Linked DNA regions of Callithrix jacchus. The protein of the gene in region 1 binds, or shares a complex with, the protein of each later gene. Links are inferred from orthologs where the notes say so. Each region holds a gene or a part of one and is shown on either strand. Other genes may lie near its edges. The genes, in order: PTH2R and PTH2.

Region 1 (3,816 bases):
TTTGTGTTTTTAATTAAGGAGATAAAAATAAATTATTTTAACACAATTCTTCAAATTTTCTATTAACTTTTAAAGCATTGTACATAAACTAGTGCATATCTTGAGTATGGCCACCAACCATCTTTAGTTATTTTTATTCTTAAAATAGTAATCACAGAAAATGGTTATAAGATTAGAGTTCAGTATAAATTAAACCATGGTTTAATTTAATGGCCACTTAACAGTTCTGAAAAGTTTGCATTTTATATCATGTAATAAAAAAATAAATATAACCACAGAGTACACTAAGTATTGTGACTATTTATTTCTATCAATGAGATTGAAATTATTTTGAAGCACTTTATCTAAACTGAATGCTGACATTAGTTCCACTGTAGAGTACCTAACAATCTCCTCATCTTGACTTATTTTATCTAAGAAGCTTTTCAACAATTAAATGTAAAACTGAAAGTCTTTCAACCAATTCCTAAAGAGCTCATAAAGGTAGAAAATTAAGAAAGGAAGTTCTATTAATGCAAAATCAAAGAAAAAAACCTTCAACTCACTACTTCTCTTGCTGCTGTTCTCCCTCCCTATCTCTTCAAAACATTACCAGACCTAAAGAAATAAGTCAAAAGTTTGAAAAGTTTATGTATGATAGATTATTCTCAGGGTCTACATAAAGATAATTTACACACAATTTATCACACTAACCCCTAGCATTATATGCATATATCATCATGCATTTTTACTCACAAGGTCTAAGTGATATCAATTTAAACATGCCTTTTAAACCAATTTTTATAACTTAAAAGTCACTCTCTACAATATCTCAAAGTTTACATATTATTTCTATACTGGAAACAGCACTGATGTGAAATTAGGACATACAGGCTCTGCTTTAAACCCTGTTACCACCAAGCTATTTCACTTTGACCAATACCTAATCTCTGGTTCTCAGTTGACTCACATCTGTGAAATTAATATGCTGGAAGATTTATATGATGCCCCTTTCTCCTTTCAATCCTACAACTCTAATCTTTTATATGCTAATGAAATCACCTACTGGTAAATCTTATGAGGTGGAAAATACCCTCTGACATGCAAAGATCCTTCTGGAATATACAGATGAGATGTAGCCATTCACAGGTAACCGAGAAGAAATAATGAATCATGTTGCTAACTACCTATTGGGATTTTTATATGCAATATAGCATAATATAATGCAATGTAAACATAACATAATGTAACATAACACACATAACACATATACAGGTATATTTATAAGTATGGATGATGTATCTCAGCCAGGTAGCTCTAGGCTATAGAAAATACCAGAATAATTGATACACATCTGAAAAAATTGCAACATTGCTTTTATCTTTTATGATCCCTGTGTCATGAAATAAGAGGGTTTTTATATATAATAGTTGGCAATCAAGAATTGCATCAAAAACATCATTCTGCTTTCCCTTAGGAGTTCACAAATAGAAAAATTCCATTACCTTTCCTATGCTGATATCTGGCTGCAGAAAGCGAAGGCAGTCTGAATAATTGGCATATGTTTTATTTAAGCTGTGCATAAAATCCCATGTTCCATTGGGGTTGCAGTGTCGGAAAGCAACTCCTGTAAAGACATGAAAGGTGCTGAGATCACTCAGTTCCCTTAGAATCAATTAGCAAAAGCTAATGACGAGTAAATGTTTGTTTCAAATTAATCATTTCAGAAAAAGTCAATACCTTTATGGTTGAAGTCATAAATATAAGGAGGACATGGAACAGCCGATATTTTCCCCACTGTTCCTCTGGGCCAACAAATGAGTCCATCCCATTCAGGGAAACAATTACCTTCTACTGAAGAAAAAAAAAAGATAAACAAAAATGTAGTTGGAACCAGACAACAAATGCATTCAAAATGCAAAATTTCAGGTCATTGCCTATAGTAAAATTAAAACAAATTGGTAGTTTTAGAAACTAGATAGGATAGATACGATGCAAACGTCCCAAAATTCATCTCTGTGGCTTCATCAAAGGCCCATTCATAGGAACATTTGCTTTGCACACATTAAAAATATTCAAATTATTCCAGCATACTAGTTATAATGGCTATAGCAATTCATTTACAAGAAACATTGAAAATCATTGTGAACAACTTCCGTAGTCAAGTTCTTCTGACCACCATAGTCGTAGCTACCTTTTTACACTCAATTCTTGAAAACTGTTTTTAAAGAACATAACACCTGAAACAGTGCCCTTCACTGGTAAGCCCCAAGACTCAGGTTTCTCTTTTTGCCAATACTTTTAGCAATTTCCTTGAGTCTAACATTCATCTCAAACAAAATTCTCATAAACTCTACTCTTCTCAAGATTAATCCACAACTTCATCACTTCTCACAACTTCCACTGCAACCATGATAGTCCAATCCACTTCATGTCTGATCTGAATAAGTGCAACAGCCTATGACTGGTTCTCCTGATTCCAACATTTCTTTCTGCAGGACAATTTTCTGGGTGGCATCAAAGAACCCAATTCTCCCTGCCCCTCTTTCTTGTAGTTCTCAGGAATAACTATACAATGTGCTGTAAATGCAGCATGCTGAGATAAGGGCTGGAGAACTGCCTGGAACAGTCCAGGCTCTGTTCCAGACCCTCCCAGAAACAGGATGTCTCCAGACATTAGCCCAGTGCACCGTGTGTTCCCTGAGGTGTATAACCAGGGTTGGGCTGTTTGATGGGATCCCTCCGCTGTGGTGTACACAGTCCATGAGCAGCTGAGATTCCATGCAGCCCAGGGAGCTTTCCTGAGCTATGTGGGACCAGTTGCCAATGACTCCTAGGCTTCTGTTGTTCCTTGCTGCCTACCTGATGAGTTTGTGTCCTTTGTAGAGACATGGATGAATCTAGAAACCATCATTCTCAGCAAATTGACACAAGAACAGAAAACCAAACACCACATGTTTTCTCTTGTAGGTGGGTGATGAACAATGAGAACACTTGGGCACAGGGAGGAGAACACCACTCACTGGGCTAGGAGTTGGGGGTGAAGGGCAAGGGAGAGGAGGAAAAACAAAGGGGAGAGGGAGGGCAGGGAGGATGGGGAGAGATAACATGGGGAGAAATGCCTGATGTAGACGACACGGGAGGCCAGGGGGATGGAGACAGCAAACCACCATGGCATGTATGTACCTATGCAACAATCCTGCAGAGTGGAGGATGTGCACATGTACACCAGAGCCCAAAATACAATAAAATTTTAAAAAAAAGAAAATAGAGTTTTGTTTCGTTTTATTTTTTTGAGATGGAGTCTTACTCTGTCACCCAAGCTGGAGTGCAGTGGCACAATCTCGGCTCACTGCAACCTCCGCTTCCCAGGTTCAAGCAATTCTATCTTAGCCTCCCAAGTAGCTGGGACTATAAGTGCATGCCACCATAACAGGCTAATTTTTGTATGTTTAGTAGAGATGGGGTTTCACCATATTGGTCATGCTGGTCTCAAACTCCTGACCTCAGGTGATCCATCTGTCTCAGCCTCCCAAAGTGCTGGGATTACAACCATGAGCCACTGTGCCTAGTCAAAAAAATAGAGATCTTAACTAGCATTCTCTCCTTAATCATCACTGCCATCCTATGTGAGCAAATACTTTCATTATTTGGCAAGGATCTAATTAATTTGCTAATGGCTCACCAATCTCTCTTCATAAATCAGCACCATTAATTATAACTCTGTAATTCTTTTTGTGTGACAGGACAAACTAATTATGAGTGAAGCTCGTCAAACCATGACATTTATACAGAACAGTCTAAAATTTGAAGAATCTTTTTCTCTTTTCAAACAAA
Region 2 (3,233 bases), on another chromosome or scaffold:
CTACCTGGAAACCCAGTGGTCTCATTCCCTGGTACCCTCCTATTTCAAGTCCTCTAAGTTTCATCCCCCAGCTCCCTCCTACCAGACCCAGAAGTCCAGGCCTCTAGCTCCTTCCTTCCTCAGATCCAGCAATCCAAGTCCCCAGCTTTCTTCTCCCCCAGAACCTGGGACTCTAGGTCCCTGTGCCAACCACTGTTAGACTCAGGAGTCCAAGCATCTGCCACCACCCTCCTTAAGAGCCCAAGTTCCCACATCCCAGATAGCTGCTGCTCTGTAGGACTTCCAAGTTTTTCTCATCTCCTCCTCACTGTGCATAGAGACTCCTCTTTTTTTTGAAAGAGAGTCTTGCTCTGTTGCCCAGGCTGGAGTGTAGTGGTGTGATCTCAGCTCACTGCAACTTCTGCCTCCTGGGTTCAAGCGATTCTAATGCCTCAACCTCCCGAGTAGCTGGAATTACAGGTGCCCACCACTACATCTAGCATAATTTTTGTATTTTTGTAGAAATGGGGTTTCGCCATGTTGGCCAGGCTGGTCTCGAACTCCTGACATCAAGTCATCTGCCCACCTCGGTCTTCCAAAAGTGCTGGGATTACAGGCGTGAGCCATCGTGCCTGACTGAGGCCCCTCTCAAGAGTCAGTGTGAGGAGGACTGGGCATTAATCTTTACAGCACCCTAAACTCCCCCCAGATAAGGGCTTAGATGCATCCTTAGGGCAGCTCGGGAATCCCGTCTCTTCCCCTCTTCATGCTCTCTCTGTGCCTTTTCTGATGTTTGCCTGTCACTTTTCCTGTCCTTGCACCCCTGCCACATGTACCTTTTGCCATCTCTTGCCTTTTCCTCCTCTCTGTCTCGCTCTCAATCTTTCTGGTGTCTCCCTGCTGGATTTATCTGTGGCAGCTCTGTCCAGCCTAGGATGTCCTTCCGTTTCCATCTGTCTTTCTGCGAGCCTTTTCCTTCATTCCTCCATCTCCATCTGATTGTTCGTTTCCGTCTCCTTCCCTCTCTGTTCTTGCTTTCTTCCTTTTTATTTCTTTTTGTGTCATTCCCTTTCTTACTCTATTTCCTCCTTGGCCACTCTGTCTTTGTCCTTCTCTTTGTGTCTCTGTTTCTCTGACGGTCCTTCCGCCAGTCTCTATTTTTATCCCTCTGACACACCCCCTGTGTCCACCTCTCTGTCTGTCTGTCTCTCCCCCTCCCTCGTCTCAGGTCCAGCTTTTGGTCCCAATTAGTTGGTGGCGGCCAAGGCATCGGCAGGTCCCCCACCCCCGGCTCCTCATTACCGCTGGCGGCTCCTAATGAGCCTGGGGAGGGGGTGACCCCGCGCCCCCGGCCCCCCGGCCTGCGTCACTGCTCGGCGCGGGGGCTGCGGAGGCGATATAAGGGGGCTGCCAGCGCCGCTGCCCGAGCCCACTGCGCGGTAGGGGGCCGTGCGGGAAGCTGAGGGTGGGTGCATGGTGGGGTCCGGGGTTCTGGGCCGGGATGCCGCCCCACTGAGCCCCTTTCTGGTTCTCCACAGGTGATGGAGGCCCGCCAGGTGTCCACGAGCCCTCGGGTTCGGCGGCTGCTGCTGCTCCTGCTGCTGGTGGTGCCCTGGGGCGTCCGCACTGTCTCGGGAGTCGCCCTGCCCCCCGCCGGGGTCCTCAGGTAGGTGCCAGGCCCAGGACTCCCAGGGAAGGGTGGGGACTTGGAGAAGTGGGAAGAGAACCAAAGAGAAAGGCGGAGGAAGACCCAGACAGGGGGACAGAAACCCAAAGAGAGGGTGACCAAGACCCAGCGAGAAAGAGACTAGCAGTGGGGAAACACCGGAGGGGGGTTTGCTGGTGGTAATGGTGCGGGAAACGGACAGAGAATCAGCAAGAGAAAGAGACAGAAAGACAGATCCTGAGAAAGGCGTGGAGAGGCTCGAAAGGAGTAGATGCAGAAAGGGATTCATCCTTTGAGCAACATTTATTGGGTTCTTGGTGCGCTCCTGGCCATGCGCCGAGCGCTGGGGGCGGACAGGTGCATCAGACTGGCTCTCAGTACCCAGGGAGTTTCGAACCTGGTGAGTAGAGGGGCAGAGACCCACACAGAGAACGAGAGAGACAGGGGGAGCCAGACCGAGCCACTCCACGGACAGGGCAGTAACAGGGCTTCGAGTTAGACAGCGGGGAGGACAGGCGGCGGCGAGCGCGGGTCTGGACGCGCGGTCGTCGCGTCTCTCCACAGCCTCCGCACCCCAGGACGGGCTTGGGTGGATCCCGCCACCCCCCGGCCGCGGAGGAGCCTGGCGCTGGCGGACGACGCGGCCTTCCGGGAGCGCGCGCGGTTGCTGGCCGCCCTCCAGCGCCGCCACTGGCTGAACTCGTACATGCACAAGCTGCTGGTGCTGGACGCGCCCTGAGCGCGCCGCCCGTCCCCGCTTTAATAAAGACCCTGCCGTGCGCTCCGGACTGCGACTCGTTCCTATGCGACCTGCATGTGTGTTGGATTGGGGGGCGGGGCGGGAAAGGAGGGAATAGAAAAGAGACAGGACTCTGTGTCGGCCACTCTGGCATCTCTCCCTTCAGTTCCCTCTATTATAATCTTTCCTCAATTCAGTTTCTCTGCCTTGGTCTTTCTCTGTCCAGGCAGCTGGCTTCTTTCCTATTTCTGGATATTTGCTTCCCTACCGCCCCCCGCCCCAGCTCTGTTGTCTCAGTTCACTCTGGGCCCCCGTCCCACCCTATCCCCATCTCTGCCCCCTTTTCTCTGGTTCTCTGTAATCTCCAAGGTCTCTGTCCCCCTCTGTCTCTGCCCCCTTATCTGGGTCTTTTTCCTCTCTGGGTGTGGGTCCTCGTCTTTTTGAGTCCTTGTAGGAATCTCCCCTATCACCCTCTTGGCTTCCGAGTCTTCTGCCTCCTCTCTCTATTCTCTTTCTGCCTTTGAAACTCTTCCTTCCCTTCTCCATTACTTTCTTTTTTCCTTTTTCCTCTGCCCGACTCCTTCATATCTTCCTTTTTGGTTTTTTCTTCCCCTCCTTTGGGTTTCTGTCTCTCCACCGGCTCTCATCTTTAAATTTCGCGGTTCCTCCCTCCCATCACTTCCACATTTCTCTCCAGGCACAGTGGAAAAAAGATTGCGGGGCTCTGGTGTGAGGCAGCCCTGACATCCAAACCCAGGGTCCTCCAAATCTAGCTGCGGCCTCGTATTGAGAACGTCTTCTTGACGTCAGTCTCTGTGCCTCCTGCTCTTCATCTGTTATGAGGAACCA

What was found.
Region 2: the proteins of PTH2R (region 1) and PTH2 are in contact, whole or in part, in a cryo-EM structure (PDB 7F16), measured with the Homo sapiens proteins. The link is inferred for Callithrix jacchus from reciprocal best matches to the Homo sapiens genes PTH2R and PTH2. Residues at the interface, in NP_005039.1 of Homo sapiens: Thr31, Ile32, Ile34, Gln37, Ile38, Asp68, Gly69, Leu70, Ile90, Tyr91, Asp92, Phe93, Met112, Lys117, Ala120, Tyr122, Leu126, Gln130, Pro131, Ser134, Lys137, Gln138, Phe141, Glu142, Tyr152, Arg190, Ile194, Lys197, Val201, Ile205; in NP_848544.1 of Homo sapiens: Ser62, Leu63, Ala64, Leu65, Ala66, Asp67, Asp68, Ala69, Ala70, Phe71, Arg72, Glu73, Arg74, Ala75, Arg76, Leu77, Ala79, Ala80, Leu81, Glu82, Arg83, Arg84, Trp86, Leu87, Tyr90, Met91, Lys93, Leu94, Leu95.

Annotation. Positions count from the first base shown.
Region 1 is NC_133507.1:129,919,547-129,923,362, reverse strand, and holds part of PTH2R (parathyroid hormone 2 receptor), read right to left. Parts: intron 1,834-3,816; coding exon 1,720-1,833; intron 1,607-1,719; coding exon 1,485-1,606; intron 1-1,484. UniProt on the Homo sapiens protein: This is a specific receptor for parathyroid hormone. The activity of this receptor is mediated by G proteins which activate adenylyl cyclase. PTH2R may be responsible for PTH effects in a number of physiological systems.
Region 2 is NC_133523.1:43,184,701-43,187,933, reverse strand, and holds PTH2 (parathyroid hormone 2), read left to right. Parts: upstream 1-1,516; 5' UTR 1,517-1,520; coding exon 1,521-1,645; exon of another isoform or gene 1,646-2,209; coding exon 2,210-2,384; 3' UTR 2,385-2,433; downstream 2,434-3,233. UniProt on the Homo sapiens protein: Plays a role as a potent and selective agonist of PTH2R resulting in adenyl cyclase activation and intracellular calcium levels elevation. Induces protein kinase C beta activation, recruitment of beta-arrestin and PTH2R internalization.